Diceros bicornis minor: one gene and its partners. The protein of the gene in region 2 interacts with the protein of the main gene of each other region in a pairwise test. Links are inferred from orthologs where the notes say so. Each region holds a gene or a part of one and is shown on either strand. Other genes may lie near its edges.

Region 1 (6,764 bases), on a different chromosome or scaffold from region 2:
ACCGTGAATCTATGTATCCCGGAGAACCCTTTCTCTCTTTTTTAAAAAAATTTATGTCACTGGGAAATCCTTACAGCTAGTTTACAATCAAAGGTTAACAGCCTAATATACAGAAGACATATTCCACTACAGAGCTATACTCTATGCAACTGTTTTTCCCCTTCATAAACAACCTGAGTTCAAATTGAATTCTAGCTTTCACAAACACAACGGGTGCATCACCCAGCACAGAAGTTTGAGTCACAAAACATAATTACCACAATAAAAGACAGTGTTCAAGTATCTGGGCAGATCGCTCTGCCGCACAAAGAACAAATTAAATTAACTACACAGACTAAAAACTATACAGCTCTCCATCAACAGTTGTGCATTATAAAAAGGTAGTTTTTTTTTGTTTGTTTTAAGTCAGGAACAGGTAGATTTTTTTTTTTAATATATACAAGCTAGCACACGCAGCCATCAGTGCTAATGCACCCCCCCCCCTTTTTGTCTTATAGAAAATGGAAAGCTTACAATACCTCCTCCATCAAAACGGCAGGCCAAGGAGCCAGCCTGAGCAGGGTCTGCCAGGGGGAGATGAGGCCTGGAACCCCCTTTGTGCGGGGTGGTGGAGGCTGGGGTGGAATGGGGGTGGGAGAAGGGGACAGGCAGTCCGTTCTCTTTCTCTCTAGCTCTCTGGCTGTGTTCTAAACGAAGTCGAGTCTCGTCACTCGTCTTTCGCTCGATCCTTGTTGATTTTCTTCATTTTCATCCTGCGGTTCTGAAACCAGATCTTGACCTGCCTCTCGGTGAGGTTGAGCAGTCGGGCCACCTCGTACCTGCGGTCCCTGGTGAGGTACATGTTGAACAGAAACTCTTTCTCCAGTTCCAGCGTTTGGTGTTTGGTGTAAGGGCAGCGCTTCTTCCGCGTGGAGCGCGCGTGGAGCCAGTTGGCAGCCGGGTTGTCTGTGGGGAGAGAGACACGGAATTTAGAAGGAGAAGCACACCCCCCCTCCGCTGGGGGCTAGGGAACCTCCTGGGGTCTTCGACCAAAGTGCAGGACACTGCTGAATTGGTTAGGGAAGGCGGCTGAGCCACAGACACAATGGAACCCTGGCAGACAGACGCAGGGACGGTCACTTACAATTGCACGCAGTAAAACCTCGGCTCCCCCTCCCCTCTGAGGCCCTCCTTTCTCTTCTTCCTCTGTCCTCCCGTCTTTTCCTCTCCTTCCTCCCACTCTCCGCACACTGTACGAGTGAAATGTGGAAACAGAGCTTCTTGCCAGGCAGGGAGAATCCACGCTGCCCTGTTCATGTAGCAGGATTGATCTTCTCTTCGCTCCTCACTGACTCACTGTCTTCCCTTCCCCACCTTTCCTTCTACTCTCCCACTCCTTATTGACCTCCCTGAAAGGCCGTAGGAGCTGGGCAGGCAAGCACGGTGCCCCTGGGCGGCCCAAGGCCGTTGATCACTTCTCCAGTTTATTCGAATAATCTGGCATGGGGACTCGCGGGGCCCGGGCGCCTGCAGCCTCATCTTGGGCAGGATTTACGCCGCCACTGGCTGAAGGCGAGAACTGGAGGGAATCGGCCGTCTCTCCCAGTGTCCCGGCTGCAGTTGCTGCCGCTGCTCCCAGACAATCTAGCCGCAGAAAAGACTCTCTGCCGCGCTGCTTTCGAAGAATGGCTCAAAGTATCTCTGTCCTGGTCCCGGGCAGCCAGGGAGAGGGGCGACTGGTCTTGGCTTGGCCCGCAGCGCCCGCCCCGCCCCCTCTCTCGGCAGCAGCCGCCTCCCCTCCCCCCAGCCCTGTGGGCCCACTTGTCACTGCTCTCTGGACTTGGGGCCCCATCCGAGGCGTCCCAAACAGCAACTTCTGGCTCTGGCCCCTGCTTAGGAGGCTCCCAGCGCGGGCGAAGGCAGACTTGAGAGAAAGCTGGCGGGCCGGCAGATCCAGGTGGCCGGCGTGGAGGCGGCGGCCGGTATGGCGGGAGGAGACACTTACTGGGATCGATGGGGGGCTTGTCTCCGCTGCTCTCATTCTCAGCATTGTTTTCGGAGAAGGCACCTTCGCTGGGCTGTTTTTCTCTATCAACTGGAGGAGAACCACAAGCATAGTCAGTCAGGGACAGAGTGTGAGTGTCAAGCGTGGGACAGTCACCCCTTCTGGCCGACAGCGGTTCAGGTTTAATGCCGTAAGGCCGGCTGGAGGGCAAGCCCGCGAAGGAGAGCGCACCGGGCGTGGGCTCCAGCCAGGAGCGCATGTACCTGCCGTCCGGCGCCGCCGCAGCCACCGGCGCCTGGGGGTGCACGTAGGGGTGGTGGTGATGGTGATGATACACCGCCGCGGGCACCGCGTTGGCGCCCGCCGCGTGCACCGGGTTCCACGAGGCGCCGAACACCGCCGCCTTGGACTGGAAGCTGCACGGGCTGAAGTCGGGGTGCTCGGCCAGCGCCGCAGCCTGCCGCGGGGGCTGACCCAGGGCCCCCGGCGCATAGCGGCCCGCGCCCAGCTCGTCCGCGGTGTCGGCGCCCAGCAAGAACGAGTCCACGTAGTAGTTGCCCAGGGCCCCGGTGGTGGCCATCGCCGTGCCCCGCACCCGGCCGGCCGGGCCGACCCGCGGAAATTATGAAACTGCAGATTTCATGTAACAACTTGGTGGCACCAGGGGGAGAAGTACAGTCACCTAATAAGTTGCCGGCGCCCGCGCCCCTATTGGCCGCGCGCGTCACGTGCCCGCCCGGCAGAACAATAACGCGTAAATCACTCCGCACGCTATTAATGGCCCGGTGTTTTGCAGTCATAATTTTTATAGCAAAAGCCATATGTTTTTATGCAAAGGGATCGCGGCGCTCCACGATCGGGTTTGTTTTAATTGTGGCCAACGAAGATTAAAAGATCAAATCTGGCCTTGCCTCTGTACTCCCTCCCTCCCCTCCCCTCCCACCGCCACCACCAGACACACACTTCTTAAGCGGACTATTTTATATCACAATTAATCACGCCATCAGCAAGGCGCGGGTCCTGCGTGCGAGTGCGGCCAGCGGAGCCCCTCATAAAATTAGACAATAATTGAAGCCATAAAAAAGCAGCCAAATCGCATTCTCCGTCTACTGTATTTAAATCTATATTTATGATATTTCATAAGGAGTTATTGTTTCAGAAGCCACACAGGCTGGTGGGAAGTTGGGAACCACCAACAGATTCGTTTTCCTCGCCGTGGCTCCCAGCTGTAAAAATTTACGAGGACTTGGAAAGGTTAAATTAGACTGTTGTGTTTGGTTGGCGAGCTCCCTGTAAATAACCCCTGCGGTTCCCAGAGATGCGAGTTTACTCCGGACCGGCTGCGAAAAGTCAAATTCAACATAGTATCCGTCCGAAACAGAGACACCCCTGCCCCTGCCCGGGCGCGCTGGGCAGAGACAGGCCGCCGAGAGGGCACCGCCTATCGAGGGCCCCTGGAATTTGCCAGCCTGGGGCGCCGGGCGCCGGGGCAGCTCCCAAATTCTCCCCTGCGCCTCCAGCGTGGGCCCCACCGAGGAGCGGCCGCACAGGGAGCAGCCAGCCGTCCCTGAGGCGAAGGGTTTGAGAGCCTGGCTGTGCCGCGTGTTCCGCCCGAGCCCCCGCACACGCGCGCTCAGCGCGCACTGTTCATCGTCCGCTGAGAAGCACGATCCCCTGCGGACGCAGGAGGCGATCCAGCCCTGTGCTCCGACCTCTAAGGCCCTAATACTGAGCTCTGCAAGCCTGATGACGCTCCCCGAACCAGAGCTGCGAAAAAAGGCGGGCGGCAGCACCAGTGGAAGGAGAGTCCAGCTTGCAAAAAGGCAGCCCCGCCTGAGACCCCGCGGCTCCAGTAGCTGGGAGGCCTGCACCGGAGCGGCTTGCCTCGGGACTCAGTATGAGTCCTTCAGGGTACCTTCCTTCCTTCCATCCTTCCTGGCCACCGCCCCGGGCCCGCCTCGGTTACCCATCCGGCGGGGCGGCTCAGCAGAGTTACAAGGCCCAAAGCGGAGGCGGCCGCAACTCAAGTCCAGGGCTAGAAATTAAAATGAGGAGGGGCACGGGGCATTGACTTTAATCCCATCCCTTAACTTGGCCAAATTGAGGAGGGTATTTCTCACTCCTGAGAGTCAGGGGTAAATTAAAAGACCTCGCCTCTCTTAATTGGGGGGGAGGGGGGGAACCCAGCCCAAATCCGAACAGAAAGCAGCGACTCTGAAAAATGAGGTAATTAAATTCACGTGTGAACACTGTGCCTGCAAGAGTGTTTCTCATTAGCCCACTTCCCTGGCGGCGAGGGCGGGCGGCCTCGGGCGCTTCCATCTCCTTTTCTGCCTTCATCCGCCCTAACGGTTCCAGTAATCCCCCCCAAAACCCTGATCCCAGGTGGAGATCCTTACATGCCAGGCTCTCCACCAGAGTGAGGCTGCGAAGCCGAGGGGAGGCCAACCGGGTGCCCCTTCCTCCGCCGGCGCCGGAAGAGGGAAGTGGTGCGCACAATGAACTCCGACGTGGCTGGTCCTGGCCGCCTCGGCCCCCTCCCCCCTAATATTTTCCTTTCCCTGTAAATTCCTCCGCGTTATCCCCACCCCCACCGCAGCCCAAGGTGTCCCAAACTCGAGCACTTCGCGGAGCCCCTGAGATTTTCACTAAGAAAAATTAACCTTGGAGAAAACCTTCACTCCTAATTGTAATTGGACACGCCTGGCTGCCTTTGCACTTTTTGTACCGAGAAGACACGAATTATTATTAGCATTTTTTCCAAATAAAAAGGCTGTTCTTTAAATAGCCTTAGCCCCCAAAATAAGATGGTTACTAAATAATTAGCAGGCGTTGAGTTTTTAGTCTTCCTTACTGATGCCAAGAAGGAGGGAAAATTACAAAACCAAATATTATCCCTCTTCATCCCAGAGGTTTGGGGAGAGAATATTTAGGCTTTTGTGTCTGCTTTTATTTTAGAAGTGAAAAGAATTGCGTCTGCATAAAGAAATAAGTTGGTGTAATTACAAACTGCTTCTTCTCGCCTGCGAGTTCTAAAACTTCGGCCTCCAAAACAAATCCAATGCTCGGGTCCAGAAAGTGGCAGACAGGAGTTGAGAGGAACGCGCTGTGCCGGCCTTTCAGATAACAGGACGGCGGGCCCTCGGCCAGAGCTGCGAAGGGAAGCACCGCTCGCTCGGTGGGCATGAGTCTGAAGGCCCGCGAGTGTGTGTGTGTCGGGGGGTACGGAGGGATGGAGATTGTTTTCAGTTCTGGGTAGCGAGAATGGTCCGACTAGCTTCCAACGGTGGACTACAACTTGGAACAAGGACTCAAGTTTGTATTCCAACGGTTCTGGAATTTAGGATTCCTTTCCCCTATTTTTTGAAACAGACTCGCGCTGGAAGGGTCCCCTTCCCCAACACCCGTCCACACATGGATGCCGTTTCTAACATACTCTGAACCTGATAGAAGCTAGTGGCAAGCAAGCAGCGAATCTTTGCCCTAGCGGGGCTTCCTTATCGCGGTTAAAGCTCGAGCAGGGACCGGCAGGCCTGGGAGAGCGGAGGAAGCTTCCCCGCGGAGTTCCCTGCGTTGCCAGGCTCTACCGAGACTGGCTGGGCCTCAGCCCAGGTCCCAGCCTCAGGTCCCCAGGGAGGCTGTCGAAGGCCTCCTTGCCCTCGGTGTGGGCACACAAAAACGCCGCGAATGCCCCCCTAATCCGATCTCCTAGGCTGCCATTACTGGCCCGCGGAGTAGGAACGCAAGGCCGCCGCCATCCGGTCGTGATCGTAACCGAGGCCTTGTCTGCGCAGCGGCACACCAGGCCCAGATCCACAGCCCTCAACAGCAGCCCCACGCGTACCCTTCCTCGGCAGATTTCGACTTCCACTTGAGCACGCAGAGAAAAATAACACCCCCCCAGGCTCTCCCCAAGCCAGCCCTGGGTCCCTCTGGAAGGAAGAGTTGAGGAGGATGGGAGGTGGAGATAGAAAACGACACAGAGAGACTGAAGATGAAAGAAAATTAAAAAGAAGGAAAGAAAGAAGGAATAAAGAAAAAAGAGTAAAGAAGGAAAGAAAGAAGGAAGAAAAAGGCGACTCCCAGGAGTAGAGAGTGGTTTACAGACAGAAGGGTAAGTGGCAAGGCCGGGATCCCAGCCTCTGTTCGCCCCAGTTTGGCCTGAGTCTCCACTGGCAAAGGGATCTTTCCTGATCTCGTACCTGGATTGGGGCTAGTGTTGTCCTAGCCTTGCAGCAGAATCGCGGGTCCCTGGCCAGGCGCAGGCCTGGAGCGGGGAAGGCCCAGGACGGAAGCGTGCGCCCCTGACCTTGAATGGCTCGGGGCCCAGAATTACTACCACGCCCCCGGCGTCCGCTAAGGAGCAGCTAACCTGACCATACCTGCTCGGGGCCAGGTAGAGATGGGGGGTGAGGCCAGCAGGCAGGCAGAGCTCTGAGAAGGAGGCAGGGTCGAGGCTCCTGCGTGGGAAAAGCCGAGGTTGCCACCGCAGGCCTGGCACGACCAGGGTCTGGATGCCCCGCCCGGCCCGGCCCCCGCGCGCACAGGTACCTGGAGACGATTTCAACTGAAGTAATGAAGGCAGTGTCGTGCTGTCGAGAGAAAGCTGGATCCCAACAACAGGAAACTACCTAAATCACCGACCAGTTCTGGTGCTGCCCGCGCGGGGCTGCCTCGCCCGCCGCCGCCTCCGCCGCCGCCACTGCCGCCGCCAAGGGAGAACCCTGAGATCGCGCCCGGCCCGGCCCCTCGCCAACCTGCGCCCGCCGCTGCTACTGCG
Region 2 (7,168 bases):
GGCCGCGGTGGCACACCACACAGGTGAAGCAGCCAGGATGGTAGGCCTTCCCCATAGCCCGCAGGATCCGGTCTAGGATGGGTTGGGAGCATGTGGAGCACTTCTCCAGGGTGGCCTGTTGGGAAGGAAGGGAGGAAGGTTGAGGGCTGGGGTGACCCATGGCAGCCCCACAAGCATCCTGCCAGCCCAACCATCTGTTCGTGTATCCACCTGCGTGCGATTCAGTGAAAGGTGGCAAGTCTCAGCAATGCAGCTTCATGGACAAGTTATTTAACCACTCTGAGCTTCAGTTTCCTTCAGTAGTAATATCTGCCTCACAGGGGTATGGTGGGAATTTAACACTTTCCTTAACTCTAAAATAAATGCCTCACACTTGTAAAGGGACTGTGGTCCTTCCCTCCAGCAGGCAGTATTTAGCTACTTAAGTCCTCCATTCTTCTTGTACATCAGTTTTAGTCCCCTACCTTCGAGTCCTGTTCCTCTTTGGGGCTTGGACATCTAGTTCCCACCTTGGATGGAAGCCCCCCACCCCAACCACTCACCACGTAGCAGCTCTCACAATATGCCCTCCTCTCCACAGCATAGAAATGCTGGCCCCGAAGATGGGCCCGGCACGTAGAACACACAAAGCAGCCAACGTGAAAGACGCGGTCCAGGGCCACAACCCCAGCCCCATCCCCAACCACATCTTCTCCGCAGCCGCCACACCGGCCTGGGGACAGGGAGGGACAGGGTCAATCTGCACAAGCTAGGAAGCTGGATCGGCTGTCCCTCTGACTCTCTAGCCCCACCTCCCCCTTCCCACCCCACCGGTGGGGTCAGCTCACCGAAGTACTCCCCGCTGGGCGGGTGGTTCATGTCATGCACCAGCTTCTTGGTCAGCCTCTCAAGCTCCTCCTCGGGAGGCTGGCTCAGGGGCACCTGGGAAGTGAGAATCAGGGGTTCGGCCCTACCTCTAGCTCCTGACCCTGTGAAAATCGCTGAGGGTGACCAGGCAGTTCTGCCCAGAAAGCTCATCTGAGAACGTCTCAGCCCAGCGTCCAGGCGGCACACCTCGGGGAGCCAGGGTACAGCTCCAGTCCCCTCCGTCCTGTACTTCCTGACCTGCCCACACTCTCCGGGGATCTAGAGCTCCGACACCTCAGACCTCTGACAACCAGGACATTAAACACCACTCCTCACCCCGCCCAATCAGTGTCCAGTTGTCTGTGAGGACCCCAAACCCCATACACGGTGCTTACCGGGGGCCCATACCCGCCTCCTCTTCCTCCTCCTGCATGGCCAGAGACCCCGGCAGCCTCCTCTTCACTTCCCGGCCCTGGCTCTCGGTGGCTCCTATAGCCAGGCCCCCAGACTTCACCTCGGCCTGGGAGAGGAAAGTGGGGGCCCGGCAGGGACCCGGAGGCCTGAGAGGCCCCCCGCCTGGGGGGGCCACAGCCTTTCACTGGTTGTGCCACCTTCACTTGCACAGGGAAGGCAGGGCCGGCGGGCGTGCTTGCTGTTGTGTAGGAGGCCGGAGTGGGGCCCCCGTAAGTGGATGCTGGGAGCGGTGGGGAAGGAACACCCCCTCCATTCGGCTTCAGGGAGCCCACGCGGTAGGCAGGGGGCTGAGGGGGCTCATAAGCCTGAGGAGAAACGCAGACCAGGAGTGAGCTGGGCCCATTCAGGACACACACCTGTGGAAATGCCCCACCCATGTGTGTGGCACCCAGGTAAGTGCTGGTTTTTGACAACGGCCCGCCTTCAAGTGGCTGACAACCTAGCAAGCTCTGGTGGCCCAGCTTCTTCCACAAGGTAGAGGTGAGGGGTGGACTGGGTTGAGAATCCAGAGAAGGGACCAGGCTAGGGGGGCGGGTGGGGGGACAGGGGACAGGGAGCAGAGGAGGGACGGGGCAGGACAGGGGGTCACCTGCCGGTCAGGCTGCCGTGGGGCATGACCACGACCCCCATCCAGCTCAGCCAGCATGCTGGTCAGCGAATCTATCTCAGCATCCAGACTTCCTGGGCGCAAGCCCCCTCTGTCTGGGGGGAGCCCCTGAGGATGGAGCAGAAGCAGGGAGAAGCAAATCACACGGCCCTCTTCTCCTGCCCTGCCCTCACCCCCCCATCCCGGTTCTCACCTGTGAACGCTGGGGTGCTCCATGGCACCCCACCCAGGCCAGCCCCCGATCCTCTGGTCCCCCTGGGGCCTGGTAACACTGCTCAGATGGGAGACGGCAAAAATTGACCCTGGGGTGGGACTGGAGTGCTGCGGTGAGGGAAGAGAGAGGAAGGGTAGATGGGGAAGGAGACGAGGGTGACACTTGTGGAGGACGCCCTCTTAGGTCCCTCGTCTCCCCTCCCCCTCACCCCCCCCCTCCCGCACCTGGGCTCCGAGAATGGGACAGGAGGTGGGGAGGGCTGCGAGAGGGCAGGGGCGGCTAGTCCCAGCCTGGCTCCGGGGAAGGGGCGGCTGGGCAGGCTGGGCAGGAGGCAGGAGCCTCAGGGCAGAGGTGGCCTCCTGGGCCCACTGGGGACTGCCTTACCTGCTCCGGGGGCTGGTGGCGGCCCCGGGGCGCCCCGGGGGAGCACTCTCCCCTGAGGGGCTCTGACGGGCTCCAGCTGCTTCGGGGGGAGCCAGGTGGGCCCCGACATGGCCTGGAACGGGGGACCTCCAGACCGCGGTCAGGGCCTCACGGAGCCCTGAGCCTCTGGCCTTGACCCCTTCTTCCGTCCCTCGTTTGGGACTCCAGGAAAGAAACTTTTTCTGGCTTTTTTTCCTCTTCCTCCCCAATTTTGGGGATGGCCACGCCCCCTGTGACATCATCGCATTCCTGGGGGAGGGTCACGTGGCCCCCTAGGCCCTAAACTGCTGTCCCTCCCTAGTCAGCCCCCTCCTGCTGAGCGGGGAGGGCTTTCCGCGGAGCCGGCGTCTGGGAGGCTGCAGGCAGCCTCCATTTCCCCGAGTCCCCCAGGCCCTGCGCCCCGCGCCCCAGGTCCTGCCCATGGCCACCTCGACGCTGGGACGCTCTGGCGCTCCTCTTTCCCACATCCCCCCATACAGATGTCTCCCTCCTCCCGTCCCATCTACCCACCCCCCAGCAGTGCTCCGCCAGCCCGTAGTGTTTTGGTCTTTTATTCACGTTCAGCAGTTAGAAAAATAAAACAGAACACAAATATCACAACCTCAGGGGTCAGTGAGTCTGTTGGGTGAGGGGGAGACTGAGGTAGCCTGAAGTCACGAGCGGAGACCCAGCCCCGGACAAGGCACCGGTGAAGGGAGGGAGGCTGACGTGGCCAGACAGCTGCCCTGCACGCGTGCACCAGGGCCCCTCTCCCAGAGACAGCAGATGCCGCAGATCAGGATCACCTAATACCTCCACCTGGCTCCGTGTACCACGTGTGGGGCAGGCGGGGAGGCGGCCCTTCTCCTCCTCATCTGCTACTCAAGGTGGGCCTCCCGGCCTGGGCACCCTCTGCTTTAGGGATGGGGCATCAGAGATCAGTACAAGTGACGGGGGTGACGCCATGAATGAGCAGCGTGGGGCCCAGATCACGGCTCAGAATCTCCAGGAGCGCCAGGTATCGGGGGTATCGGGCAGAATCAGCAGGCGGCCGAGGCAGGTACAGGAAGGTGAGGGCAGTGGCAGGCCCCTCCACACCATTCCCACCCTCAGGCCCACCTGGCCCTCCTCCTCTGCCATGCGCCTGCTGGGCCCGAACCAGGGCGTTGGCGCTGCATGCCAGGGCCTCTGCCTCCGCGTCTCCCCGCCCACTGTTCACGAAGTCCCCTTCCTCCTCCTCCTCAGGCTGCCCGGACCCAGCCCCCTCGCCCCACACTACCTCCTGCACCTCAGCCCGGATCCTCAGCTGGCTCAGCAGTGCCCTGAGCCGCCCCTCGGCCGCCCCAGGGGCCTCCCGAGGCCCCAGGCACAAGAAGATCCGGAGCCGGGCACTGTGCCAAGCAGGCACCATGCCCAAGATGGTTGCCATCTGCAGCAGGAAAAGGCCGCAGACGTCTACATAGCCAGGCCCACCCCGGGGCCGCAGCAGGTTGAGGGGCCACACGTCCACGTGATGCGGCTGAGAGGTGCCCCCAGACCCCCGGCTCAGCCGCTCAGGGGGCAGGGCGCCACAGGCCCGGGCCAGGACCACATTCTTGTTCATCTTGAGGGCATCTGCCACCGTGGCCACATAGTCCTGGGGAGTGAGAGCCCGAGGGCTCCCAGGAGCCCGGGGAGGAGGGAACAGGGTGCTCAAGGCTGGGGTCCCGCCCTCCTGGGTGCCACCTGCAGGCTCAGAGAAAGCCGGGTCTGTCAGGAAGTGGTCCTGCGGTGCAGCATCATCATAGAAACCCAGGACCAGTGTGTTGGGCTTCATGCCACCTGGGGGCAGATAGGGGGAGGAGGGAAGGAACCAACAGGAGTCACACTCACAGGCAGAGACTGCCCCACGCTCATCCCTGCCCACTCCTACACGCTGACAAGGAAATGTGTCAGCCGTCAGGTATGAGATTCGCACCGGGCCTGGTCTCTTAAGGCAACATTATGCACATTTGCATGATGACTTTTCATTTTCCCAAACACTTGCACATGCATTTATTCGATTTACCTCCATGACTAATCTCCCCCACTTAAATAAGCAGAGGCCACCTTGGGATTCTTTTAACTAATGAGCACTTCCGGTCCATGGCAGTCAGATGCATTTGCTCCAAGCTTCTCCCAGCACACCTTTTTCATGATGGGAGATGAGTTTGACTCCCGGGGGCAGACCAGACCCCCTGATTAGTCAAGCTCATGGCCTCAATCCCCAGGGAGACAGCACCCGGATTCTGCTGGGGAAGGATGAGAACTCGGGCTGGGGCTGCACAATGCTTCCATGACTGCAAAGCCCTAATGATGGTGGGTCCAAAGCACCGTCCCCAGAGAAGAGACAGTTAACATCTGCCCACTAACCGGGGGCCACATGCTGTTGAAAGAAAGCACTTCGTGTTTTAACTCATCTGATCCTTGAAGCAACGCCACGAGGTAGGGACTATTTACTTCAACCCCTTCTACAGATAAGGCACAGAGCGGTGAAGTCACTTGCCCAAGGGCTCAGGGCTGGTAAATATGGGGTCGGCAGGTGAGCACAATGTGCCCAGCACCAGAACACACTCTCTGAGCCTCTAAGCTGGTGTGTGTACCAACCACAATGCCCCAGTCCCTGCCAGCAGCCGCTGGTTTTTAATTTTTGGATAACCTATATGGAATCAGATAATTCCCTCTTTAAAGGGCTGCATGTACAAGAAGGTGCTGAGACCTCTTCTGAGACTCCTTCTCGTGAAACAAATGGGTTGCTTAAAATCTACCAGGAAATCAAATTTTACTTGCCAGGCAAATTTACTATTTAGAGAAAACCTTTTCTGTTTTATTTGAATCGTTTCCCACAGGATACATTTCATGAAAGTAGTGGTTTGTTTGCACAGGTTTCCCCAAAAAAGGTGGGGCTGAGGAGAGACCAGGCCTTCAGGTGCTCCAGGGTCTGTCTAATAATGCTGGAAAACAACCCAAAACACCTCAGCAGGTGTGAACTCCAGCTGATCTTGCAAAGTAAGCTAGTTATACCCCCTCCTGAGCATTTTCCACGGTTCTGATTTACACCGAACAGGGCAATGTCCAACACTTGAACTTTAGCCAGATTCTAAATGGAGAAGGCAGCATGCACTCAGAGAGGGATTAAGAGAGAAGGAGGCAGCTAAGCACAGATCTGGAGGAAGCCTGGGTGCAAGGTGGGAGGCCTCAGTACTAAGACGCAGTCACAAAGCTGGGAATCCTCCACTCCATCCAAACGCATCAGCCCCATGCATCCCCCACATCCTCTGTGGTCTCTGGGGGCCATGTTACATCACTCTCTACTTCTCCACCCCTTCTAAGGCCCAGCTGAGACACCATCTTGTCACAAAACCTTTGCTGGCCACGTCAGCACATGGTGAGCTTCCTTTCTCTGAACTCGGGTGGTTAGAAACCTTCTGTCCTAGATTTGATGGGGCAGCCCCCAGGCTCAAATAATTCTCCCATTGTCCCCAGAAATACAACATGCTCTTCAGAGCCTGTGCCCCAATTTTTGGATCAGAAAAAAATAACAGTTGCCCCATCTTGAGTCCTTAAGCATCTCCTCTGAGGTTTTATCACACACTGTCTGTTAGCTTTGAGGCTGTGTCTTATCTGCACTCGACAGTGAGTACCTTTTGGAGTCTGCAATCTGTGGTTTATTCTCTGGGGGAGGGGAACAGATTGAAAGGGGCCACACAGAGGCCCTAGGGGGCCGGGGGAAGGAGCAGCTCACCAAGGCCCGAGATCCGCAGCAGATGCTGAGCTCCCTGGCGCACGGAGGGCGAGAGGGTGAGGTCCACGAAGGCCTTCACTTGGGCCCGGTCCACCAGGCTCAGCCATGCCCCGTACTGCGGCTGCACAGGGTCCGAGGGCAGGCAGTCTGCGGGGAAGGCAGGCAGCAAATGTGGGCCAAACTCATGTACTTTCTCCTAGAGTTCAAATCCCAAATGGGCAGAAGAAAAAGGTCTAGGCAGGGCTGAGGCTGGCTGGAAGGATCGTTCGGGAAGAACCACGAGCCTCTGGGACACAGAACCCAAAGAGCGTCTGAGACTGAGAGGGAGAAGAGGAGTGGGGGGCAACTCACCGAGGTCTCCCAGGGTGACGTGGCCCAGCACGTAGAGGCCCCCCTTCTTGAGCTGGTTGGCCAACCGCAGCAGAGGCAGGGCACCCCGGGGGTTCCCCACCAGGAGCAGCAGCTGGGGCCGCCAGAACTTCACGTGATCCTTCCGGACATCCAGCCGGAGCAGGTACTTACGCACCTGGGGACAGGAGTGGGGTGGTGGGGAGGAAGGGCTCAAGCAGGCGGCCCCCACTCAACACTTCTCAGACAGGAACCCCAGCTCCAGCCAAGGGAATGGGAGGCCTCCTTCAGGGGTGGGCATTCCCAGACTGCCTCCTCCCCTCCCCACCCTCCTCCAAGCCCCCTTGACCTGGTGGAAAAGCAACGCCTGGCTGACGTAGCCCCAGCTGCTGGGGCCTCCTCGAGCCGTGAGCAGGGCGGAAAGCAGGCCCATGAGAAGCAGGGAGCCGCCAGCAGCCCCGGGGCTGATAAGAAACATCATGAGCAGACAGGAGGCCACCCCCAGCAAGCAGGT
Region 3 (7,071 bases), on a different chromosome or scaffold from region 2:
AATGTAAAGAAATCACAAAATTATGCTTACGCATGCAATACAAAACAACGATTTCATTGCAGATTAGTCTAATGGCCTTGGAGAATCGTTTGCATCACCACACCAGGTAAATAACTATGATCAGCTGAGTGCTTGCTGAAGGCAAAGGGAATACAGAACGGGCAGTGGAAGAAGGTAGTTATAAATACCAGCTATGAGCACGGGACGAGTTACAGAACCGAGGACTGTAACTGTCATATTTCCTCCCTATTTTGTTATAAATATGTTGGTGTGTATATGTGTGTTTATCTGTTTTCTTCCTTCTGCTTTCTTCCCTCTCTTAGCAAATATCTATTTTCTTTCCTCTCTTATTCCCTCATCATGTAACATAAGCTATATCGTCTTTATATCATCGTATTTAAGTATTGGTAATTTTACATCATGGAATTTAAGTTATGAGATATCAAAGAGAAAAGTAAACTTCACTTAAAGACTTTACCTCCTTTTCTGGAGAAGGGGTTAGTGCATTTTCAGTTGTATGCAGGATTCTTGTAACATGTTAGGCAGAATTATGACCTTGTTATTGTCTTTATTTGGAGATTAAGTATGGTTTTAGGAGATGCATATGGGAGCCAAGTTAACAACTGATGGTTAAATTTTATGTGTCAATTTTACTGGGCCACAGGGTGCCCAGTTATTTTGTCCAACATCATTATGAATGTGTTTGTGAGGGTGTTTTTTAATGAGATTAACATTTGAATCAGTAGACTTGAGTAAAGCAGATAGCCCTCGCTAATGTGGGTGGCCCTCACCTACTCAGTGAAAGGCCTGAATACAACAAAAAGGCTGACTCTCTCATGAGTAAGGGGGAACTCCTTCTGCCTGACTGCCTTGAGCTGGGACATTGGTCTTTTTTCCTGCCTTTGGACCTGAACTGAAACGTCGGCTCTTCTTAGATCTTGAGCCTGCTGGCTTTTGGACTGCAACTTACATCTTTGGTTCTCCTGGTTCTCAGGCCTGTGGACTTGGACTAGAACTAAACCATTGGTTCTCCTGTGTCTCCAGCTCTTGGGACTTTTCACCCTCCATAACTGCATAGCCAATTCCTGGTAATAAATCTCTTCCTGCCAAGTCCCATGGTTCTCCTTATTCCAAAAATACACAAACACATGGGACTTTTCCTCCAGTGTTTTATAAACCATCTAGATCAGTATTGTCCAATAGGAATATAATGTGAGCCACATAAGTATTTTTAAATTTTCTATTGGTCTCGTTAAAAAAAAAAATTTTAAAGAAACAGATGAAATTAGTTTTAATATATTTGATGCTACCCAATATATCAAAAATATCATTTCAACATGTAATCAATATTTTAAAATTATTAATTTTTTTGTACCAAGTCTTCAAAATCCAGTGCATATTTTGCACTCACAGCATATGTCAATTCAGAATGGCCACATCTTAAGTGCTCAATAGCTACATGTGGCTAATAGTTACAGTACTGGACAGCACAGGTCTAGAGGCATTATCCTCCTCTCTAAGCAGATGTTCAGAGAGCTTCTGCCTCTGGCCCCAAATGACCTAGTTCCAAGCAGGCCACTATTCCTTCCCTCTCTGTTCACTTGGGGTGGGAAGAGGACACTTCCATAAGGATAGGGAGTTAGTGTCTTTCAGTTGGGAGAGAGGAGCTGCAGAACGCTTCCTGGTTACTGAGTAAAGCAACCAAGAATTCCTATACATTAACCCTAAAACTGACCCAACTGTGGTCAGAATAAACCGTCTTGCTGTTAAAGCCAACAGTCAAAATTGAAGAGCCTTGTAATACTAAATTCACTGAGTACCTTGTTGTCACTTGTAAATCATAGTACAGGCAAGATGCAAAGTTCACCAGGCAGTATTCAAGTATGTAACACTCAACTTGTGTTTTTCCCCAGTTTCCAGGGTTACAGCAGAGTTAGTCCTGCCATAGCTTATTACAAACTCCAGGTTAAATGGAAACTTATAAGTCCTAGTTATCTCAAAGGATGGTAGTCTGTAGTAACTGATTCTCACTATACACCAAAAGGTAATTTTCTCCTTTTTCCCCTACTAGGCAGATGTTTCTTAGCCTCACTTCACTTGCACAAGCCACTAGGGAAATGTGACCCTCAGAAAGATTCTAAAATCAACACATAAATACCACTTTTCCAATGCATTAATACATCAAGTTCGTACAAGACTCAAGCAGGTAAAACGAGCATCCTTAGCATACACTGTATGGATGGAATCAACTTCTTCTAGCGCAAGATAAGAACAAGCTATTTTCTCCTCCTGCATGTCGGTTCCACACTCCTCAGTCTCAATAAGTCAGGGACTAGAGACAGATAGGTCTCTACAGACCGAAAATTCTCAGTACGTACCTGCCTTCGAGCACACCTTCAATGCCAACTAGGAAGGGAGCTTCCAAAACCACGTTATTTGTGACTCCTAGGAAAACAAACACGGGTCAGAATGAGTACCTGTGAGGCCTTGAAAGGGAAAACCTTCCCCCTTCAGACAGACTCATCATGGCCACAAAAATCAAGAAAATCCCGGCAAAGGGGTTCATTTCCTTCCAAATCTTCACCCAGTTTTCTTCCCCAGCTGGCTCTCGGCCACCCGGTGAGAAAGCTGGAACACCCTCTCGGGCCCTCCCCAGACGCCGCCCCCACTCACTGGAGAAGACCACGGCCCCTAGGGACCGCGACAGGTCCCAGGCGAGGTGCACCGTGTCAGCCAGCACGGCGTGGCACTGAGCGCACTGGAACACGGCGCACCTCTCGGGCTGCAGCCACGACGGCAACCGCGGGCTGGATGGCAGCTCCTCCGCCCCCAGCCCTGCAGGGCCGAGCGGCGAGGACCCCTTCACCACCTGCGTGTCCCACTCCATGGAAGTCGTTAAAGAAGGTTCATCAATCGCCTTCTTAGCGCTATCGCAAAAGTCACCCCGCGGGAGCACTGCATAACGCGAGCGATGCCGCCGCGCCCGAGCCGCCATTTTCCCGCAGCCGCGCCTCCGTTTCGAACACGCACCGGGCCCCGCCCCAAGCACGGTTCCTCCGTCCTCATTGGACATCGTGAGCCGGGGCTCTGCGGCGCATTCGTTGCCTGGACACGCCCTTCGACGCCTACGTGTTGGTGAGGGGTGGGGAAGAATATGCGACTAAGGGGAATCAGCCTTTCTATTGGTCAACACCAGGAAACCCCGCCTTCGAGGCATTTTTAACCAATGGAAGTGCAGCACCCTTAATTTAAACTGTCTATAAAATTCGGCTTGGTCAACGCTTATAGTGGCGCCAGAGATTTGAACGGCGCTGCTGAGGTTGGAGTGTCGATCGTCTGCGTGGTCGCCTGGATTACAGATCGCGATGACCGTCCCTTCCCTGGAGGAGCTGGACTCCTTCAAGTACAGTGACCTGCAGAACTTGGCCAAGAGTCTGGGCCTCCGGGCTAACCTGAGGGTACGGGGTCGATGGCGTGGGCCGGTTGCGGGAGGGGTAGGATGAGCGGCTTTAGGGAGACGCGGTGGGAAGGGACCGAGCCCGCCCTGGGCCGGTAGATTTGGTTAACGAGGAAGGGGAGCCGTAGTTTTCACTTTATTTTGAGGCTGACTTTTCTGAGGGCTCACATAGGCCTCGGCTCCGAAAGGGTGTGTTTGGTTCGGTTTTATTGAAGTACTCTGTGATACTTCCAGGGCGTCGGTTAGGAAATGCAGGCAGAAAGCTCAAGGAATGCTGTGTCTAATGCCGATTAATTATTAGGCAGTCGCGGAAATAATTGCCTTGGCTTCTGGAAAATTCCAAACAATAACACTTCTGTAAATTGTAATAGTGCCCAAAATCTCTTGCTACTTTATTGGGGGACCCAGAAGAAAGGAACACTTTTAGGGGACCACCCCTGTGGATAAATTTTTATATCTCAGCCCTGATGTACTATGAGCGTTCATTTATTGACCACTATTGTAGTAGTGTTCTGTTTCAAAACCGGTAAGTTCTTTGAGGCTGCAAAACGCTGGGGGAGAATGTGGGGATTCAATTTGGGATTGGGGTTCTATACTAGATTCTAGTGGAGTTTTCCCACATAATACTAATAGCAGAACAAATACTCGAGATTTACACTGAGCAAATGCCTAAATCAGCCATCTTAAATGTTTTTAAATGGTTTAAACAAAATAATAGTGCCCAGGTACCTCTTGGGGCTGAATGGTAAAGGAGTGTCTTTGGAGATATTTCTGAGCTATAATGTTTAATGGCTCCCCAATTTCATAAACAAAGCCTAATTCCTTTTTTTTTTAAATTATTTATTTATTTATTTGTGTGAGGAAGATCAGCCCTGAGCTAACATCCATGCTAATCCTCCTCTTTTTGCTGAGGAAGACGGGCACTGATCTAACATCTATTACCAATCCTCCTCCTTTTTTTTTTTCCCCAAAGCCCCAGTAAGGTGGTTGTATGTCATAGCTGCACATCCTTCTAGTTGCTGTATGTGGGACGCGACCTCAGCATGGCCGGAGAAGCGGTGCGTCGGTGCGCGCCCGGGATCCGAACCCCAGGCCGCCAGTAGCGGAGCGCGCGCACTTAACCGCTAAGCCACGGCCCGGCCCGCAAAACCTAATTCCTTAGCTTAAATCCCTTAGGCTTTTTGCAGGCTGGCTGGAATCTTTTTGTCCAAGGCTGCATCCAAATTGGACTGGTCCCTGAACACTTGGTACCTTTGTCCATCTTTGTGCCTTTGCTAACTTTGGCCCTTTGGCCTCAGATCCCTTTCTCTCTCCCTCTTCTTTATCTGCATGAATAATTTCCAATTACTCTTCACAGTCCATCTGAAATGTCATCATTGTCTTGGGGCCTCGTCCCCTCCTCTTCATTCCTTTAACCACAGGTCCAACATCCCAGTAATCCCAGGAACCCTCTGTGCTTTTAAAGCAGTTTAATTTCAAGTACTCTCTTTGAGCACTTGCAGGCTTCCACCTTGTACTCTGGTTATTTGTGTCTGTATGTTATCTTCTCCACTAAAAATTAAGTTCCTTGAACAGGGATCTCATCCATCCACCTTGGAAGTCTTTACAGCACTAAGTGCAGTATGTTTTATATAGAAGATGCTGAATAATTACTATTTATTATTTACAACCACTTCTTGACAGTGCTGGAATAATGCACCAGATGGTGGCAAGAAAGTTACAGTGGAGACACATACCTGAGTTCAGAGGTCTGGCTAACACTGAGGCCTACAACCATTTGGGTCTCTGAAGAGCTATTGCAAGTTAGATCTTTTTCTGAAAGTCCCACCCATCATTGTCTCTTGAGGTGGCTGATCCGGCGTAGCCAATTAATCACCTTGTCACAGAGGTGGAGTAGTACACTGTTTGTCACTACAGACCCCACCGCCTGCCTAGCACACAATATCTAGCACATCCTTGGTGCTGATACATATTTGTTGAGAGGTACTATTTCCCAGACAAATTTGACCATACAAGGCTTTATTATAACCAAAATAAAAAGACACTTTTGAGATGGAGAAAATTAAACTTCGACAATGTATTGTATTAAGCTACTGTTAATTTTGTTGGGTATGATAATAGTATTGTGATTATGTTTCTCTCTCTGTTTTTTAGTAACACATACCAAGTACTTACGGGTGAAATGTTATGATGCCTAGGATTTGCTATAAAATGCTGCAGGAAAAAGATGGGGGTCTAGATGAAGTAGGAACAGCAGAATGTTGATAATTGTTGAAACTGGGTGATAGATACATGGGGGTACATTACACTATTCTCTCTACTTTTGTATGTGTTCGAAGTTTTCCCTAAGTAAAATGTTTTAAATTATTTATAGCTGGTACAGCCCAGAGGCTCATTAAATCAATTGCCTTTTTAAATTCCAAGTACATAGCAAAAAATGAATAAAGTGCTCCAAGAAATTATCAAGATTTGATTATTTTTAAAATTTTCAATAAAATTTAAATAAATTTCACCAGTATGATAACATTCTAGATACATTTCAAAGAGAAAATATTAGCTCTTCCAGTTGAGATACTACTCTTGACGGTAAAGCAAGACAAAGGAGGCAGTTACTCATAGTTATTGTATGGCCACTGGTCCTTTTCTCTTCTCACTGCTGCCCTTGCTTTCCTTCTTACAAGCTTAGATTACAAAGACTGGCACTATTTCCACTTTCTTGCAGCTCCCCTCCCTCACCTGGCAAAACTCCAAGCCTGATTAAACCCAGCTCTGTGCTTAATCCTTGCCTATACCTAACCTGTGTAACCCTGGCTGGAGAAAATCAGCTAACTCTGTTGACTGAACTGAATTTAAATTTACGACCATAAATCATAAAATGAGCATTTGATTCTACTACACTTCCTTAGTAGTCATTAACTTTCCCATTTTTGAGGACAGTTAGTTTGTATCTTCTCACCTCAAATTGGCTCCCTTCTCTCACTTGATGACTTTTCCTCATGGGTCATGGAAAAATAGATGCAATCAGCTGAGAATTACTTCATCTTTCCACACCAACCCTCCAGCCAGCCTGCACCTGTCCTGCCTACTCTGCCTTCCGCCTGTTATAGCAAAAGGCTGCGCCTAAGGGCAGCCTTGCCATCTGTGCTGGGAACCCGTTCCCTCTTCCCGGGCTACACTCCTGCAATGAGCTCCCCTCTCCTACACCAGTTTCTCCCACTCCGCTGGCTCATTTCCATAAGGCATGCAGTCAAGTCTTACTATCACCCATCTTTTTTTTTTTTTTTTTTTTTAATTTTTATTTATTTATTTTTCCCTCAAAGCCCCAGGAGATAGTTGTATGTCATAGTTGCACATTCTTCTAGTTGCTGTATGTGGGACGCTGCCTCAGCATGGCCGGAGAAGTGGTGCGTTGGTGTGCGCCTGGGATCCGAACCCGGGCCGCCTGCATCGGAGCACACGCACTTAACCGCTAAGCCACGGGGCCGGCCCTGCTATCACCCATCTTAAAAAAAGAAACAAAAACCCTCTCCTAACCCTATGTCCTTCACCTACTGCCCAATTTCTCTGTTCTTTTCCACTGAAAGTACTCTTATTGAGGCCACCATGCCCTGCAT
Region 4 (6,971 bases), on a different chromosome or scaffold from region 2:
AAGAGGTCCCGCACATCACATAAACCTCAGATGCCACACAACCTGAATCCACTTGAGTGCCTATAATTTGCTAGGCAGTGTTCTGGGAGCTCAGGATACATTGGTGAACAAAATAGAGAAAACAATCCTCTCTTGTGAAGCTTATGTTCTAGTTGAGAGACAGACAAAACAAAAACATAATAAACGTCTAAATTAAATAGTATGTTAGAAGGTAAGTGCCGTGGAAAAACGTTGAGAAGGGTTGGAGGATGGAGAGTGCAGAGCAGGGAGTGTGGGTGAGATGAGAAAGCATTTGGCAAGATCCAACATCCATTTATCATAAAAGCTCTCAATAAAATGGGTATAGTAGTTTCCTTCTTCTATAGAACTACCTCAACATAATAAAGGCCATATATGACGAACCCACAGCCAACATCATATTCAACAGTGAAAAACTGAAAGCCATCCCTCTGAGAACAGGAACAAGACATGGGTGCCCACTTGCACCACTCTTATTCAACATAGTAATGGAAGTTTTAGCCAGAGCAATCAGGCAAGAAAAAGAAATAAAAGGGATCCAAATCGGAAAGCAAGAGGTAAAACTGTCACTATTCGTGGATGACATGATTCTCTACATAGAAAACCCTAAAGAATCCACCAAAAACTATTAGAAATAGTCAATGAATACAGTAAAGTTGCAGGCTACAAAATCAACATACAAAAATCAGTTGCATTTCTATACACTAACAACCAAATAGCAGAAAGAGAAATCGAGAATACAGTCCCATTTACAATTGCAACCAAAAGAACAAAATGCCTAGGAAATTGCCATTTTCAATAAGCTGGTCAGAGAAGGTAAGCCTCAGCGAGAAGGTGACTGTGAGCAAAGACTTGAAGGAACTGGTTATTGATAATACCAACAGACTCTAGTATAGTATATGAGTTCAGTGGTATGCCATTATTCTCTTATTCAGGCCCCACTTTAGAATATTTGAAGTAAAATAACCCCAAAGACCCAACAGTAGGAGGGTAAAGCAGGAACAGTTGACCAGGGTTAAGAACTGAGTAGCTGCCTGGGGCACTCATCTTAGACATTGGTACTAAACAACACAGAGACACTGAAACATCACTGGAAAATAATACAATGGGGAACATTCTATCTACCAGAACATTTTGGGAGGTGAGACCCCCAAGGGGCATGACCCTTAAGGAGATTTGGTCTGATTAACTGTCAGGTTTGTACTGCAGGGTGGGGTGAGGCAAACATGGAACCACACCTGAAATGGTCAGGGCACTAGACGGCTGAGTGCTGCCACCAAGGGGTGCCCTTTCCCACCTTTCTCACCTATTTAGCATTCAATCTTCCCTCTAAATAAAAGAGGGGAAAACAGCTAAAAATATGAGTTTAAAGTATATATTGTTGGCCTGCTCTAGAAATAATAAAAATAGGAGACTGGGACTCTTAATTGTGAACATCTTAAATGTTCTTGGAGGGCCAGCCCCGTGGCTTAGAGGTTAAGTGTGTGCGCTCTGCTGCTGGCCGCCGGGGTTCGGATCCCGGGCGCGCACTGAGGCACCGCTTCTCCGGCCATGCTGAGGCTGCGTCCCACATACAGCAACTAGAAGGCTGTGCAACTATGACATACAACTATCTACTGGGGCTTTGGGGAGAAAAAGGAGGAAGATTGGCAATAGATGTTAGCTCAGAGCTGGTCTTCCTCAGCAAAAAGAGGAGGATTAGCACGGATGTTAGCTCAGGGCTGATCTTCCTCTCACACACACAAAAAAAATACAGCAAAAAAAAAAAAATCATTAAACATTCTTGGAGCACCACATGATCTTTATTTATAAGCAGCTGTGGCATAGTAGAAAGACAAAAGGACAGGTCAGAACTGGATATTGAGTTCTGACTCTGCCACTGAACTGATTAGCCTTGGCCAAATCAGACAGTGAAAAACTAAGTTTTATCATCTATAAAATGGGGATAATAGTTAAGTTTCTTTTACGACAATTAAATGAGATAATTGTGTTTAAATGAACTTTTTAATCAACAAAGTATCATACACCTGTTTGGCATAATAATAAAGCTACAGGGTAGTTTTATTTTATTTATTTATTTATTATAGTTGCTAGGTAAGGATCATAGTTATGAAGGATATAATCATTTAAGTTGTAATTATCAACAAATAGTTAAGACAGTGCAGAATCCTTTAAAATCTCTATAGTCGGTCTTCACGCAGCTTCAAGAAACCAATCTAACAGACTTTTCAACATCTTTTAATGGGATGTTAGAACAAGAGACAGACATACATCTTGTTATCTCAAAAGCAGAATATGTATTTTGTTTCCTTATTCACTTGAATGAATACTGAAGGAGTGACCCTTAACCAAATGAAGGAAGGGTCAGCATCAAAAATAACTGGCTATTTTCTCCAAATTGCCAGCTAGGTAGAGTGATTCTTAAATGATACTTCTTGTCAGCAAGAAAGATGATCCCAAGAATGAACAAAAATAGCCTCTGTTCAACAGCTGCGATATCTATAATTTATAAGGTGTGATCATCTCTCATTAGATTGTCACGGTGTCTAAACAAGAATGTATGTATATTTGCCATTTGTATATCTATCACTTCTCAGAAAACAAACTTCTGTTACATCTTATTCTTTCTGATCAATGTATTTCTCTCTTTACACATAAACAGCGTGATAAGACACTTCTTGTTTGAGGAATGTGACCTTGAAACGTCATCGTCATGCACAACGTTAAAAATGTTCAACTAATCCTTAAACATTTATTCCAATCAGCAAATAATTTGCAAGCACTGAAAGACAGGCAACATTGAAGAACAGGACGACACGGAAGGAAGGGAGGGAGGGAGGCAAGGAGGAAGGGAAGAAGGAAAAAAAGAAGGAAGGAAGGTAGGAAGGAAGGAAGGAAGACATTCCTTCATTACTAAATTCCTGTCAGTATTCAATACAGTACCTGGGTGTCGCGCCTTTGTTTCCTCTTACCATTTTGTCCCCCCACCTTCTATCTTTATCTTTCATTCATTTGTGCCCTTACAGCCCTTCCTCTTCACAATTCTCTTTGTCTCTTATGTATTTTACTTCCTATGCTCACTATATTCAATTTCCCTTTTCATTTCTTGCACTATTTTCCTCTGGTGCAGCCCCATCACAGGCTATTTCTACACTATATATTTATCTAAGCATGTGCTAAATACCATCAAGCAAATATTGTGACTGATTTAATGAAGAACTTTGTGCAAATTAGTTAGAATGGAGAGCTCTGGAGGAGAGGGTCTCTTCCATCTCTAGGACAAAATAATTGAAAATGATGAAATACGTAGAGGAGGACAATTGAAGAGAGCACAGCATTGGGTTCCGTGTGTGCCACGACCTGTATCAAAAACTCCCAGGCCGTGACGTGAGGAACTTCCTCCTGGCTCTCCTCGGGCTGACCTTGGATCCCGGCCCCCGCCGCCTCCCATCCCTGAGCTCCCTCATGCTCACACTGCGGTTTTCACATCCTCTCGCTCCCCACACTGTGGGCCTGTTTCTCTGCTTCGAATTCGACTCCCATCTCTTTCCATTCGCTAAGATTCGCCCAAATCTCAGCCGCACACTTTCACTCCCTTCCGTTTTCCTCCTAACGGGCCCCCTAGAGCACCCCCCTCGCCCTCGGCCCCTCCGCAGGTGAGGGCGCCGTCCCTTCACGGCTCCCCGCGCACCTGTCGGCCTCCCCCCACCGCCGCCCGCGCTCCGGCCCCTCCCTCCGCTCCGCGGCCGGGCCCGGCCCCCGGCCTCTCGCCGCGCCCCCTCGGTGGGTCTGCGCGCCCAGCCTCCGCCGTTTAGCGAGTCCCCCCCCCGGCCCGGCCCTCCCCCGCCGCGCCCCTCCGCCCCGGCCCCCCCCCCCCCGGTCCCGCTGCACTGTGGGTAGGCGGCGGCGGCCGCGCTGAGGAGCCCGCGGCGGCGGCGGGGGAGCAGGCGGAGGAGCGGGCGGCGGCGAGGCCGCGCACGCCGAAGATGGCTGAGAAGCAGAAGCACGACGGGCGGGTGAAGATCGGCCACTACGTGCTGGGGGACACGCTGGGCGTCGGCACCTTCGGCAAAGTGAAGAGTTGAGTACGCCAGGCCGTCCGCTTCGCCGAGGCCGGGCCGGGCCGAGCCCCGGAGCCCGGGCGGGAGGGTGGCGGGCGGCGGGCGCGGGCCTGGTGGCAGGTGGAGCGGCCCGGCCGCGCGGAGCCGGGGCCCCGGGAGGGCGCGGGCGCACCTGGCCCCGCAGTGGTGGCAGGTGCAGGGCAGGGGCCGGAGAGGAGGGCGAGGGCGAGGGCGGGGGCAGCAGTGCCGGGGTCCAGGGCCCGCGCCCAGCCGCCCGTCCGGTGGTCGGGAGCGAGGCGCTTCCCCTGCGCGGACGTGAGTACCTTCTGTAGACCCGGGAGCGCGGACTCGGCGGTGGCGTGCCTTCCAGCTGCGGCATGGGCCGGACGGGGGGCTCCTCCACGGTCCTGATGGTTGAGTTTCCATTCTGCCAGGTGCCCCGTTAGGTGCTTTCCTTGTGATCTGTAATTCTCACAGCAGCTGGGTCAGGTGTTCTTCTCACGTTGAAGGTGAGAAAACGGGGACCCCTAGAGGCTGAGGAACGTGCTCAAGGTCACACAGAAATTGGCAGAACCAGGATGAAGAGTAAAATGTCTTCCGATTCTGGGCAGGCTGGGAGGTCCCTGCCCTCCCGATTCTTGCATGCTCCCGGGCTCTAGGTTGGTGGGGCTGGCTGTCTAGGGGGTGCTCCAGGGGCGAGAGGTGGGTCGGTCTTTCTGCTGGGCATGTGAAGGGCTGGCATGCAGCTGGATTTGTCAGGGGTTGATTAGAGCTGGGAGTTCGGAAGGTTGGTTGGCATGTGTAAAATGGTTCTAGGAAGGCTTCAGGAGTGGGGCAGAGAAAAAAGCCCCCTTGGTGTTGACCTTGGAGGATGTGGGGCTGAGGAGGCCAGAACTGCTGAGGCATAGTCCGCTGAGGTCTGTTTTCTTGGTGATAGGATCCCATTTTGGGTGTAGAAAAACAGGCTGCTTTTGAAATGTTTTACTTCTTACTAGTTAAGTATTGAACTTTCCTTTTCTGTTGTTAATAAGTCACATGGGATTGAATTGTTTTGTCCTCTTTCCAGAACTAGAGCCAGCTTATTAAGTATACTTTCCCTTTGATTGTTGCACATCCAGGATTATAAGTAAAATGTTGAATTTTTTTTTTCTTTTTGCTGTAGAAGTTCAGTAGGCAGTTTGGAGATTTTATTCTGAGGCCTTTATTTGGTTTAAAATTCATATTTTAATCTTAAATCAAGGCTGTTAAATAGGTAGAAGAAACTCATTGTTTGCATCAGCTCTTATTTACTTCCACATATCTGATACCGTTTTGTTTAGAAAATGCTTATTGTACACCTATGATGTGCTGGCCACGGTTCTGGGCAGTGAGGATACAGCAAGAAACAAAACCAGATTAAAATCCCTCCTTTTGTGGAGCTTATATTCTAGTAGGGGAAGACGAACAATAATCACAATATGTATGTAAACTATATAGCATGTCTAGTGCTGTTGAGAAAAATGAATCAGGGAAGGGAGCATAGGGAGTTTTGTGAGGTTGACAATTTTCAATAAAGTTGTCAAGCAAGGCCTCACAGATAAGGTACTGTTTGTGTAAAGACCTAAAAAGGTTGTAAAATTCTTTGAAGTCCTATGAGGCTATGAAGTTCTGGATTATTTTTGAAAGACCTCGTAAATAAAGTGCATAGTTCAGAGAATATATTTAGCTTGAATATAGGAAGATCCAGGGATTGGATTAATGCTTGTAACGTTACTCGTCATTAAGTATCATTACTGAGGACTAATGTGTTTGGACATTATTCACTTCCTGAAGCAAACAGTGCCTTGGCCATCTGGACATGTACACTCTTAAAGTTATATAACTTACCCTATGTCCTTTCAAAACATTTTTGTTTATCTTTTTAAATTCTTCAGCTGTAATCTGAATGTAGACTAGAACACCCATCAACTCAATTGGCCCCTTGTCAGAGGACAGCTTGAATCTCTTTTGTATACTCTTGAGCTGCTTCCAGGCACTGGCTTCTTCAAATATAGGCCAACAGAATATACTTTGATTTATGAGAAATTCTTTTCCTGGAGGACCCCTGTCCAAGGAGCAGCCAGTTGGAGGGCTGTTCTGAAGGCTAGGTTACAGCCTTTGTAAAGTTAGACTGTGGTTTCCCATCCAAGATTAGAGTTGTTCAATAAAAATTATGGAAGTTGCTACAATCTAAAGTTACTCATTTAATTCTTCGAGGGACAAGAAACAAAAGTACGTACATTTTTAAAAACAGCTTTATTGAGGTATATTTTATGTATAAAATTCACTCATTCCAGGTGAACAATTCAATGATTTTTAGTAACTTTACCAAATGGTGCAACCATCATGATAGATCAATTTTAGAACGTTTTCATCACCACAATAGGATCCCTCATGCCCGGTTACAGTTAATCCTTGTTCCTGCCCTCAGCCCCAGGAAACCACTAATCTATTTTCTGTCTGTATAAATTTGCTTTCTCTGGCCACTTCTTGTAAATGGGGACACTCAGTGTGGAGTCTCTCATGTCTGACTAATTTAACAATGTTTTTGAGGTTCATGCGTGACATAGAGTGTGTCACTAGTTTGTTCCTTTTTGTTGCTGAGTAATAATCTATTGTGTGGATATGCCACATTATGTCTGTACATTCACCATTTGATGGACATTGTTTTCAGATTGGGGCGGTTACAGATGATGCCGTCACAAACATTCACATGCAAGTCTTTGTGTGGACATATGTTTTTATATATCTTAGATACCTTATATATCTTAGATACCTTGGAGTAGAATTGCTGGGTCATATTGTAGTTTTATGTTTAGCTTTTAGAGAAACTACAAACTGTTTTCCAAAGTGGTTGTACCATTTTACAGTCCT

Evidence for each region.
Region 1: the proteins of TRIP6 (region 2) and HOXA9 interact in binary tests that used the Homo sapiens proteins (3 or more experiments, as listed by UniProt). The two-hybrid records come from large-scale screens. The link is inferred for Diceros bicornis minor from reciprocal best matches to the Homo sapiens genes TRIP6 and HOXA9.
Region 3: the proteins of TRIP6 (region 2) and OIP5 interact in binary tests that used the Homo sapiens proteins (3 or more experiments, as listed by UniProt). The two-hybrid records come from large-scale screens. The link is inferred for Diceros bicornis minor from reciprocal best matches to the Homo sapiens genes TRIP6 and OIP5.
Region 4: the proteins of TRIP6 (region 2) and PRKAA2 interact in binary tests that used the Homo sapiens proteins (3 or more experiments, as listed by UniProt). The link is inferred for Diceros bicornis minor from reciprocal best matches to the Homo sapiens genes TRIP6 and PRKAA2.

What each region holds. Positions count from the first base shown.
Region 1 is NC_080742.1:51,998,645-52,005,408, forward strand, and holds HOXA9 (homeobox protein Hox-A9), read right to left. Parts: upstream 2,565-6,764; coding exon 1,985-2,564; intron 946-1,984; coding exon 707-945; 3' UTR 525-706; downstream 1-524. UniProt on the Homo sapiens protein: Sequence-specific transcription factor which is part of a developmental regulatory system that provides cells with specific positional identities on the anterior-posterior axis.
Region 2 is NC_080765.1:5,033,907-5,041,074, forward strand, and holds the start of TRIP6 (thyroid receptor-interacting protein 6), read right to left. Parts: upstream 3,005-7,168; 5' UTR 2,635-3,004; coding exon 2,526-2,634; intron 2,249-2,525; coding exon 2,121-2,248; intron 2,036-2,120; coding exon 1,910-2,035; intron 1,626-1,909; coding exon 1,242-1,625; intron 922-1,241; coding exon 828-921; intron 713-827; coding exon 543-712; intron 116-542; coding exon 1-115. Other genes in the region: SLC12A9 (solute carrier family 12 member 9), read right to left, coding at 3,475-4,364, 6,307-6,453, 6,658-6,832, 7,004-7,168. UniProt on the Homo sapiens protein: Relays signals from the cell surface to the nucleus to weaken adherens junction and promote actin cytoskeleton reorganization and cell invasiveness. Involved in lysophosphatidic acid-induced cell adhesion and migration.
Region 3 is NC_080744.1:39,058,956-39,066,026, forward strand, and holds the start of OIP5 (protein Mis18-beta), read right to left. Parts: upstream 3,011-7,071; 5' UTR 2,996-3,010; coding exon 2,674-2,995; intron 2,446-2,673; coding exon 2,379-2,445; intron 1-2,378. Other genes in the region: NUSAP1 (nucleolar and spindle-associated protein 1), read left to right, coding at 3,366-3,458. UniProt on the Homo sapiens protein: Required for recruitment of CENPA to centromeres and normal chromosome segregation during mitosis.
Region 4 is NC_080752.1:18,540,051-18,547,021, forward strand, and holds the start of PRKAA2 (5'-AMP-activated protein kinase catalytic subunit alpha-2), read left to right. Parts: upstream 1-3,955; 5' UTR 3,956-4,004; coding exon 4,005-4,098; intron 4,099-4,549; exon of another isoform or gene 4,550-4,588; intron 4,589-6,971. UniProt on the Homo sapiens protein: Catalytic subunit of AMP-activated protein kinase (AMPK), an energy sensor protein kinase that plays a key role in regulating cellular energy metabolism.